3 linked regions of the Cricetulus griseus genome follow. The protein of the gene in region 1 binds, or shares a complex with, the protein of each later gene. Links are inferred from orthologs where the notes say so. Each region holds a gene or a part of one and is shown in the gene's direction. Other genes may lie near its edges.

Region 1 (3,653 bases):
ACTGACGCCAGTGGACTGGACTCTGTGACTGAAGCATGATAGTGGCCATTGCCACATCCATACAGTAAATTAACTAATTGATTAAAGAAGTGTGTAAAACTAGACTATTGATGAGAGAAGCATGCTGGTGCTGATTCTCAGCGCCATCTCCCCTGTTGCGCTGCAGTGGGAACATCTAATGGGAGCACAGACATCTTCTCTGTGCATTGGCAACGCATAGGCGTCACTGTTTGCTGCTGTTGTTTTTCAGGTGGTAATGGCACTTCTCAAATACTGGCCAAAGACTCACAGTCCAAAAGAAGTAATGTTCTTAAATGAATTAGAAGAAATTTTAGATGTAATTGAACCATCAGAATTTGTGAAGATCATGGAGCCTCTTTTTCGACAATTAGCCAAGTGTGTTTCCAGCCCTCACTTCCAGGTATGCAGGTCTGGGTGACAGTGGTCAGGTGCTCCTGTTGAAATGGTGTTCTCGGTGTGAAGCTGCGTGTACTCTGGTTTTGCTGCGATCTGGGGGCAATGTTCAGTTTTTTTTTTTACTTGGCATGTACTTCAAAATTAGATGCTTAAATTTTAGCCAGGTAGGAAGACTCATTTCTGTAACCCCAATACTTGGGAAGCTAAGGCAGAAGAATTGCTACAAGCTGACATCAGCCTGGGCTATAAAGAGACCCTATACTCAAAAATAAAATATGATTTTATTTAGTTCTCTGTAGTTGCAATTCTTGCCCTACTCTCATCACTGAAAACCTATGGAGTATAGGGCTGTCCACTGTAGGAGCCATAGCCTACTAGGGGCACACTCCTTGAGAAAGCCGGCTCTTTTCCCAGCAGCTGCTGACTACCTGTAACTTCAGCTAGAGGTGGGGCCTTGTGAGCCACACCCCCACCCGTGTTGGAATATTGGCTGGATTGGCCCTGGCAGAGCAGCCTTCCCTGTCATCCTGCCTAGAGGTTCCTCTTGAGCAGAAGCAAACCTGGACTTTCTGCACGGTGGCTGCCGGCTGCCACACTCCCCATCTCAGTTTGCTGGTCCCAGTGACTCCTTTCCTCATTCCGGAAAGGCTCTGTGTGGAGGGTCCTCAATGCCGAGTCTGCTCCAGGAGACACAGACACCTCTGGTGGATGATGGTGGCTAAAGGATTTCAGGGTTTGGCCACCCTCATTTTCCACTGGTAACAGCCTAGCATCTCTCATTCACTGCCAAGACACTTTGTTCTTCCTTGTAAGAAGTCCAGTCTCCATTCCTGCTTTCTTGATGGACCCGGATCAATACCAAGTACATTCTAGAATCGCCCGGAAACATGTGGCCAGCTCTTTCTTAATCAGATGTTTTTTCTATGTAGTGTTTTTTTCACTTTCTCACCCAAACCCCCCATCCCCAGCCGTCTTGGTAGCTTCTCGTGGTTGTCTTGCACCTAAAACAGAGAGATGGTGGCTGTAGAAGAGACATTATCTTTGGAGTCAGTCAACTCTAGACTCCAGGTTGTTATAAAAAAAATAGAAGGGGGCCAGTGAAATGGCTCAGCAGATGAAGGTGCCTGTTGCCAGGCCAGACGATCTGTGTTGGATATCTGGGGTCTACATGGTGGAAAGAGAGAACCAACTCCCCAGAGTTGTCCTCTGCATACACACACACACACACACACACACACACACACACACACACACACACTATGGTATACAAGTGCCTCCATCCCTGCCACACACACACACACACATGATCTACACACACAAAATAGATCAATTACATACTTTTTGAAAGGTAAGTCGGAAGTACATGTGGCTGTGTGTCAGTACAAGCAGATGGGACAAAGTGAGTTGTGCATCCCCATCAAGGGCCCAGCATTAAGGAAATCTGAAATGGAATACTGTGTGTCACATTGGTCAAAAGCCAGCACCTGGCAGTCCAGCGGGGGTGGTGGTGAACTGGGAAGAGCATTCTAAAGTACTGAGTGTGCACGGCTGCTGCTGAGCTAGGAGAGTGATGGTATTGGAAGCATACCAGAGAAGTAAACGGCAAGTTCTCTTTAATAAGACAGCTGAGTGCAGTAGTTAATCCCTAAACTGAGGCAGGAGGATTGCAAGTTCCAGGCTGGCTACTGTTTCTCAAAGAAAGAAAGGGAAAAAAAGCATTTGTGTTAAAAACTAAAACAAGCCAGATGTCGGTGGTGCACACCTTTAATCCCAGCACTCAGGAGCAGAGGCAGGCGGATCTCTGTGAGTTCGATGCCAGCCTGGTCTCCAGAGCGAGTGCCAGGACAGGCTCCAAAGCTACACAGAGAAACCCTGTCTCAAAAAAACAGAACAAAACAAAACAAAAAACTAAAACAAAATTTACAATTTGCACCTTTAAGCACCCTATCTTTTATTTTCTAATGTGCAGTCTTGAAATATTATATCCAAAAATATTTATGGATAGGTAAATGTTCTCTATAGTCTCCATGAGTTCAAGGCCAGCCTGAGTTACATATCAAGCCCCAGGCCAGAAAGAAAGAAAAGAAAAGAAGGTGTTGGGGCCAGCAAGATGGCCTGTACAGTTAAAGCCACTTGCCTTGCAAGCCTGGTGACCTGATTTCAATATCAGAACCCAGAAAGTGGGGGGAAGAGAATGGACTCAGAGTTAGCCTCTACCAGACACACATCATAGCACATGCTCACGTGTGTACACATACTATATATGTGTGTACCCCTACAATAAACTAAAATACAGGGCCAGCAAGACGGCTCACCAGGGAAGGTGCTTGTCCCCAAACTTGATGAGTTTGCTCCTAGGCCTCACATAGTAAAAGGAGAGAACCAACCCCTCCACATTGTCCACAGGGCTACAGGTGTGCCACACCACAGACATGTACACACGTGATAGACAAATGTAATTTTGAAAATAATAATAATGTAGGTAAAGGTATTGGTCGGGCATAATGACACACACCTATAATCACCACACTTAGGGCCTGAGCTGGGGAGATCATAAACTTGAGGTTGGCCTGACCTCCATAGTTGGGTTTTTTGTTTTGTTTGTTGTTGTTTTTTTTTTTTTTTTTTTTTTTTTTGGTTGGGGTTGGGGGGGGTTGTTTTTGGTTTTTGGTTTTTTTTTTTTTGGTTTTTCGAGACAGGGTTTCCCTGTATAGCTGTCCTGGCACTCGCTCTTATAGACCAGGCTGGTCTCAAACTCACAGAGATCCGCCTGCCTTTGCCTCCCGAGTACTGGGATTACTTGCTGTTCACGGTGGTGCTCACCTTTATTCTCAGCATGTGGAAAGCTCAGGCAAGATGCTCAGCGTGAGCAATAGTGAGGCATCCTTAAACTGTGTGTGTGTGTGTGTGTGTGTGTGTGTGTGTGTGTGTGTGTACACGCGCGTGCGTGCATTGTGTACTTCACATTTACTTATTTTATGGTACCACAGAGGATGTGTGTGGAAGACTCAATTGTCTCTACCACGTGGATTCAAGACATCAGACTAAGGGCATTAAGCTTGGTCACAGTACCCTTACCCTGCCATCTCACTGCCCCGCCCCCTTTATGTATCTGGTGGGGGGTTTTGCTTGTTTGTTTTTGGTTTTTGGTTTTTCGAGACGGGGTTTCTCTGTGTAACAGCTCTGGCTGTCCTGGAACTCCCTCTGTAGACCAGGCTGGTCTCGAACTCACAGAG
Region 2 (3,653 bases), on another chromosome or scaffold:
AGCTGGGTTAATTGCACTGACTCTTGGTAGCACAGTTTAATGGTAGAGAGTTTGAGTTGTAAAAGATGCTTTGATCCGGTGTAAATCTTTAATAAGCAGACATGCTTCCTACCCTCCAGGAGCCATGGGCTTACCTGGAGTGCTTTCTACTTGCATCCCGGATGCACTTTGATGTCCACTGCTGTACACCTTCTTGTGCTGACTGGCCACATTTAAAAAAAATATATTTCTCGGATGTCACCTTTGCTCATTCATTAATTAACACAGCACTTGAAAACCCTGTGTTTCTTCTTGTCTCACTGGCTCAGACTTTGTTTTTTGAGACAGGTCTCATGTAGCCCAAGCTGGCCTCCAACTCACTCTGGTTGCCAAGGGTGACCTTGAACTCCTGATTCTCCTGCCTCTAGATTACAGGCAGTGGCCACCAAGTCTGGCTTTTATTTGGCTCTTAAACTTAAGATGTGAGCCGACAATAACAACACCTGGGCATTTATGGAGATAATAGAGAAAGCAGTGCTGGAAGAAATTTATGAACACATGTCAAACTCAGATAATGTAACCTGGGCTTCTCGTTTTTTTATTCCTCTGGGGACTCAACAGGTCCCACCTTCTTGGGGACTGTGAGGTGTATGGTGCCAATCTGTAGAACTTGGGATTTCCTTATCTGATAAACTTGATTATGCATTGAACCCTCACCCTCATCCTTCCATTCACTCCCAACCTTCCCCAGGTCCCCCACCCCACCTCTATCCCTAACTCCAGTGATACAATGGAAAGCAGCTAAGGGCTTATTCAGGTCTGTCTAGTCTGACTCCTAATAGGGAAGCAGGGTAGTATGGAATAATGTGGTGTTGGGGACAAAGTCCTGTCACTAGCTATGTGACCTCAAGAGAGTCGTTTACTTTCTCTATACCTCAGTTTTCTTGATTTAGAACAGAACATGCAAGCTGTACATGGGATAAACCAAATGATATAACCCTGTCAAGTGCCTGGTGACCTGTGGTTTTCTTTTACTACAAACTGACAAGCCCCTCTGCCTGCCCCAGGAACACTGATATAAAGTGCTTTATAAAATAGAAAAGTGAGAATGATCTTGACTGAAAGCAGCTGTGGGGAGCCTCCCAGTCCTACAGCCTCTCTTAACCCTAGTGTAACCCTTCAAGGGGACGTCCAAAAATTCCCTTAACTGTAAGTTTGGGGTGAAATAAAAATAACTGTGTTCTAAACCGTTTAGGTGTTTGGTGTCACCTTTTAAGTTATAGATACAAAAGAGAACAGGCCAGAGGTGTGAAATAATTTGGCTAGTTACAGATATTAATGTGAGAGCCAGGGCTGTGGCCAGGGCCAGCAAATGACAAGAGAACACATTTTGCTTCTATGAAAGAGCACACTGTGTCCATTCAAAGGCATTATTTCCCATGGTAAGTAATTAGACCTAAGAAATGTGAAAGAGAGGGCAGACTGCCCAAGAGTAAACAAATTATGGTATAGCCATACGATGGAATTTTACACAAACATTTTAAGGAAAAAATTTCAGGGACTTGTAAGTTCTGATGATAACTCATCCTTTTTCTTAGCAAGAGGCAAGCTGCCAAGCCCTGTGAACATAGCAGTTTCCATTCTAATAAAATATTTATGTAGAGGGAACCATTGGGAATGAGGCAGAATGTTGACAACAGGTTTATGAATGATTTAAGAAAAAACTTTCCAGGTCAGGAGAGACAGCTCAGGACCTGAGTTCTAATCCCTAAGACCCATATAAAAGCTGTTCCTGGGGGTGTGTCTGCAATCTCAACACTCCTATATCAAGGTGAAAGGGGGAGCCAAGAAATGGCTGGCAGCTTCCAGGCCTGATAGCAATGATGTGTGCAGTGGTGAACAAGAGAGGCTGTGCCTCAACAAGACAGAGGTGTGACACCCATGATTGTTTTCTGAATTCACACAAGTACATACATACATACACACACACACACACACACACACACACACACACACACACACCTAAAAATATACATATATACTTGACAAATTTCAGATAGTGAACACACATACATCAGAATAATTTTAAGGGATGGATGGCAGAATGGTAGAAACAAAATATCCTAAGAGCCAATACTAGATGAGTATGTTTTATACTCTACCTTTTAAAGTAGCTTTTAACAGGGAGCTTAGAACTGTTTTTATTTTTCTTTTTATTTAAAAGTTTTAATTTCTGTGTATGGGTGTTTGGCCTGCATGTGATTACGTGCATGCAATGCCTACAGAGGCCAGGAAAGGGTGCTGGATTCCCCTGGAACTGGAGATATAGTTGTTTTTGAGTTGCCATGTAGGTGCTGGCAATCGAACTCAGTTAAGAGCCAGTGCTCTTAACCACTGAACCATCTCTTCTGTCCTCTCTACAAGATAGTTTTTAAAAAGTTATCAGAAGGTTGGGCTTGCCTATAACCCAGTACTTGGGAGATAGAGGCAGGAAGATCAGGAATTCAAAGTTATCTTTAGACAAGCAGTGAGCTGGAGGTCTGCCTGAACCACATGGCAATTTGTCCCCCCATAACTAAAGGTGAATAAAACATTACAAGAAACAAAAATGCATAATTGATGTCTGGGAAGCTCATCCACATATTGAGAATATGGGAATGCATTAAATATTTAAATTTGTTCTAAAGTTCCTTATACCTTGTAATGTCTTCCAATTCAAGTGACAGTCATTGTGAATGCATATTAATTGATTGCCAATCACTGTGATTTCATATTAATACTTGGTAAGTTGATAGTTTCTTAGATTTATAATCTCTTCTCTCAAATATAGGTAAGAGATCCCTTAAAAATACTTCCTAATATTTGTAGGATTGTTTAAGAAGTTTCAGGGAAAAGCAAGTCTACACCTGGAGGGTATGAAGTTTGTAGTCTTTCTGAGCTGATCTGGTTTACATGATCACTTAACACCAGACTGGCTGCTAACTGCCCACTGCTTTTTTTCTTGCAGCCCTGCTAGACCCAAACATGTGGAACTCAATTTGAAAAACCCGAAGAACCCTGACAGTCTGGGCAATGAGCACAATCCATTTAGCCAACCAGTTCATAAAGGAAACACTGCCAACAAAATCTCTTTATTTGAAAACAAGCGGGCTAACAGTAGCCCTAGACACCCTGACATCCGTACCACAAGGAACAACCCTCCCTCTAATAAGACATTTGTTGGGAGAGCTAAGCTAAACTTAGCCAAGAAAGCCAAGGAAATGGAGCAACCTGAAAAGAAAGCCTTATCAACCAGCCACCAGAATGGCCTGGTGGCCAAGGAATCATCCACAGATGCCAAAGGCGTGGAAGTCCCTAGCTCCAGAGAAGAGATTCTTCTGGCCTCCAGTGGAGGGGGAAGAGAAGCCACAGAGGATCAGGTCCTCTGCCCTGAGCCTAATCAAAGTGATAAGGCGGATGTGCAAACAGATGCTGCCTTATGTCCTTCACAGCAGGTGCCCACTGCTCGGGTTCCTGTGGAGGACCCTGAGCTCTCAGGAGAGCTCCACCCAGAGGCTGCTGACAGCAAAAACCTTGTACTTGACAACGTGAGTGACACGGCACAGGACATCCCCACCATTCTTAATTCCAGAGAGTCTCCTCCAAAACCACAGGGTACATTTTCTGACTTACAG
Region 3 (3,653 bases), on another chromosome or scaffold:
AGCCAGTGCTGTTCTGTTCTGTTTTGTTTTCTCACAACAGGGTTTCTCTGTGTAGCTCAGGCTGTCCTGGAACCCTCTCTGTAGACTAGGCTGACCTTGAACTCAGAGATCCACCTGCCTCTGCTCTGCCTCCCCAGTGCTATGATTAAAGGCATGCACCACCACTGCCTCATTGCAGCCAATGTTCTTAACCACTGAGCCATCTATATAGCCCCAGTTGTCATGCATTTTAGACCTTGTCTACCTTAATACGTTAACAACTTTCATAGAGAGTGTCTTAACTCAATTAATGCATATTTTAAGGTGTGGAATTTGATGTCTTCCAAAACATTTTATTTTATTAATTTTATCCTTCCCCACTAAAATTTTGTTAGAATTGCAAATTATTGTGGAGTTTATACATTGATATTTGTTCTAAATCTTAATAAAAGATACGTCCAAATAATATAATCATAGCATACATAGCTTGAGAATAATTAATTGAACCTCTAGTACATGTCTGTCTGTGCATATACATATATCTTTATATAGGAATGAGCATACTTTTTTTTCTGTTCTGTTGATATATAGGAATACTACTTGGTTTTACTTTTCTGAAACCGTATAAATCTCCTACATTACTTTTTCCAGAGACTGTTCCTTATCTAAGTCATCTTTGTTTTTGAAGTTTACTAGCAGTCTCTGAGCCAAAGCATCATGGGGTTGACTTCATGGAATCACTCTGGATCCACAGTGCTAGATTCCAAAAGAAAGGGCTTTAAATATACTAAGCGTGGTAGCAGAAATCAGAAGGTTTTTTGGTTTTTTTTTTTTTTTCTCCCTTTGGTGGAAATGCAGTGATATTTTGGTGGACCCAATTAGCTTAATTGACTTGGTTATTTTTACAGGTAAATATGTCTGAGTTTCTTCCTTGTGGAATAGTAGTAAGGACCCTTTTAGACAAGGTTGCTGAAGAATTACACTAGATGACACAGAAAGCTCATAGTACATGATGGGAACTTGCCTTCCATTTCTGCATCACTGAGACCACAGATTTGGTGATTCATAAAGAATGTTGGTTTATTTAGGCTCAGTGTTCTAGAGTCCGAGAAGTCTAGAGCCTGATGCTAGTCTTGAATTATAGCATGATGGAGGATTTCACGTAGTGAGACAGCTGTGAGTCAGGGAGAGTGCTCTTTATAATCTGTGATCCACTTATTAATCTGTAAAGGGTTAATTCACTCAGGAGGCAAGCCCCTTATGACCCAGTCACTTTTGTAAGTCCTACCTTTACTGTAGGACTAGAACAAAAGCCAGTAAGAATGAACACTGATTATCTTTATCGTTCTGGCTTTTTTGTTTGTTTGTTTGGTTTGGTTTGGTTTGGTTTTTGAAGACAGGGTTTCTCTTTGTAACAGCTCTTGCTGTCCTGGAACTTACTTTGTAGACCTGGCTGGCCTCAAACTCAGTGATCCACCTGTGTCTGCCAAGTGCTGGGATTAAAGGCAGATGTCACCAACTCCCAGCAAAATTGTTGTGAGCTGGCTTGTGGGTGTTAGGAACTGAACCTGGGTTCTCTGGAAGAACAGCAGGTCCTCTTAACTGCTGAGCCATCTCTCCAGCCTCAGTAATGCTTAATTTTTATCAATGTTTATTTGTTTTTCCAACAGATAAAGTGCTAACTTGCAAATATATGAGTTTGAGAGAGACATTCAGTAATCATAGAAACACTGAATAAATTGTAGTTTTTCCTTTCACTTATATTACTTTACCTTTCACAGGGTGTCTTGTCTTTAGAAGCAATGCTGCTTGAAGGAAGCTTAGGGTTTTTTGTTGTTGTTGTTGTTGTTTTTGTTTTGTTTTGTTTTTCAAGACAGGGTTTTTCTGTGTTGCTTTGGAGGTTGTCCTGGAACTCGTTCTGTAGACCAGGCTGGCCTCAAACTCACAGAGATCTGCCTGCCTCTGCCTACTGAGTGCTAGGACTAAAGGCATGCGCTACCAATGCCCGGCGAGTCTTTTCTTTTGAATAGTCCTTTAACTTGTGGATAAGAATTTCACATTCACTTCTTACTCATTGCTCAAAGTAACTCTTGCAAATTATCCTCTGATTTCCATATGTACACACACACACACACACACACACACACACACACACACACACACACACACACGTAATATAAATAAACTGAGGCTCACAGTCATCTTATTACCCCAAACTTCATTGCATCATACTTGGGAAAACAGAGGCTTACAGTAAATTATTTCTCCAGAATGCCAAGCTGAGGTTAAACATACAGTTATATGTTTATATGAATGTACTACATGTATAGGATGATAAAATGATGATATAAAGATCAGAAATTGAGAGTTCTTAGTCCTTAGCCAGGCATTTATCTGGAGAACTGGGTGTGTGGCTCTCTGCATAGATACCAGGAACCATGTAAGCAGGCTCATATAGATGTGTTTGTAGGGTGGGTCTGTAGATCTTTACTGTTTCCCACAACTATTAGTTACAGCCCAAAAGAAGGAACTAAGAAAGAAAGGTATTTTTGGTGTCTACCTCCAGCACTCTAAGGTTTCTCTCTTTGCAGGGATGTTGGCAATGTGGTTGAAGCTATGTACGGGGACCTCCCTCCTCCAGTCATGCTGATCGGGCACAGCATGGGTGGTGCCATTGCAGTTCACACAGCATCAGCTAACCTGGTACCAAGCCTCTTAGGCCTCTGTATGATTGATGTTGTGGAAGGTAAGTTTTGGGTTCAGTAATTTATAAGAGATATTCCTGGTACATTATTACCTTGGCCATATTTGTTCTCAGTTTCACTCATCTTGAAGTATGCCTCTATGTCTTTGTGCCTTTATAAAATTATACAACCATTTTCTGTATTACCAGAAACTCTCCATTAACACCTTTTTATGGCTGTATAATATTTCTAATCATATGAATGCCTTTTAATAAAATTTTCTGACTTACCCCGAGAATCTCACTGCTCCTTGAACAAGTTAGCCATACTCACTGTGGTGTGCCACACAAGGAGTGAATCAAGAATTGCTGAGAGCCATAGTGGAAACTGTCGTGAAGCTAGATCTTTATTTTTACCCAAACATCACTGAATTCTGACATTACCAGGAACAAATACATAAGCTGACTCAGTGTGTTAGTTTTTACCACTGTGACAAAATATCTCAGTTAAGCAATCTAAAGGAGAAAAGATTCGTTTTGGTCAGATATCAGAAGTTTTGGTCCATTGCTTTAAGAATGTGTGTGTCAGAACATCACACAGAGGGAGACTAGGAAGAAACTGTGCTCCCCCAGAGCTTATCCCAGTTACCTGCTTCCTCTAAGTCGGCCCTGCCTCCAAACAGTGTGCATTCAACAATGGATTAATATATTGATAAAGTTAATGTCAATAGTGTCTTCATTATCCAACCAACTGTCAATACACCTTCAATACATAAACCTTGAGGAGGAAGAATTCTTCCTGTGTAAGCAATGCCATTCCATCATTATGAATATGAAGATAAACATGAGTATTGTTCTCTTGATGATACAGGCGTAGGCAACAGTTTGTAGGACTCCAATAGCACAAGGAATAATCTGAAAAATTAACTTCTGGATTTCCATGAAGCTAAGAAGCTTCTGTTTAGAAAAGAAACAATCACCAAAGTGAAAA

Evidence for each region.
Region 2: the proteins of Ppp2r5c (region 1) and Crybg1 are in contact, whole or in part, in a crystal structure (PDB 6VRO), measured with the Homo sapiens proteins. The link is inferred for Cricetulus griseus from reciprocal best matches to the Homo sapiens genes PPP2R5C and CRYBG1. Residues at the interface, in NP_002710.2 of Homo sapiens: Lys183, Thr184, His187, Tyr190, Gly191, Leu194, Arg197, Ala198, Arg201, Glu226, Ile227, Ser230, Ile231, Asn233, Gly234, Phe235, Ala236, Lys240, Glu242, His243, Pro265, Gln266, Tyr269; in NP_001358171.1 of Homo sapiens: Pro1136, Phe1138, Ala1139, Met1140, Pro1141, Pro1142, Ile1143, His1144, Glu1145, Asp1146, His1147, Glu1149.
Region 3: the proteins of Ppp2r5c (region 1) and Ppme1 are in contact, whole or in part, in a cryo-EM structure (PDB 7SOY), measured with the Homo sapiens proteins. The link is inferred for Cricetulus griseus from reciprocal best matches to the Homo sapiens genes PPP2R5C and PPME1. Residues at the interface, in NP_002710.2 of Homo sapiens: Asp180, His187, Arg188, Tyr190, Gly191, Leu194, Arg197, Ser230, Ile231, Gly234, Phe235, Ala236, Lys240, His243, Asp313, Gln341, Tyr348, Glu353, Tyr354, Glu399; in NP_057231.1 of Homo sapiens: Arg37, Lys38, Arg39, Asn192, Lys217, Val251, Glu252, Gly253, Ile254, Ile255, Glu256, Glu257, Pro345, Gln346.

Annotation. Positions count from the first base shown.
Region 1 is NC_048598.1:183,452,527-183,456,179, reverse strand, and holds part of Ppp2r5c (serine/threonine-protein phosphatase 2A 56 kDa regulatory subunit gamma isoform), read left to right. Parts: exon of another isoform or gene 1-59; intron 60-250; coding exon 251-421; intron 422-3,653.
Region 2 is NC_048595.1:266,254,327-266,257,979, reverse strand, and holds part of Crybg1 (beta/gamma crystallin domain-containing protein 1), read left to right. Parts: intron 1-2,986; coding exon 2,987-3,653. UniProt on the Homo sapiens protein: May function as suppressor of malignant melanoma. It may exert its effects through interactions with the cytoskeleton.
Region 3 is NC_048596.1:99,185,410-99,189,062, forward strand, and holds part of Ppme1 (protein phosphatase methylesterase 1), read left to right. Parts: intron 1-2,570; coding exon 2,571-2,725; intron 2,726-3,653. UniProt on the Homo sapiens protein: Demethylates proteins that have been reversibly carboxymethylated. Demethylates PPP2CB (in vitro) and PPP2CA. Binding to PPP2CA displaces the manganese ion and inactivates the enzyme.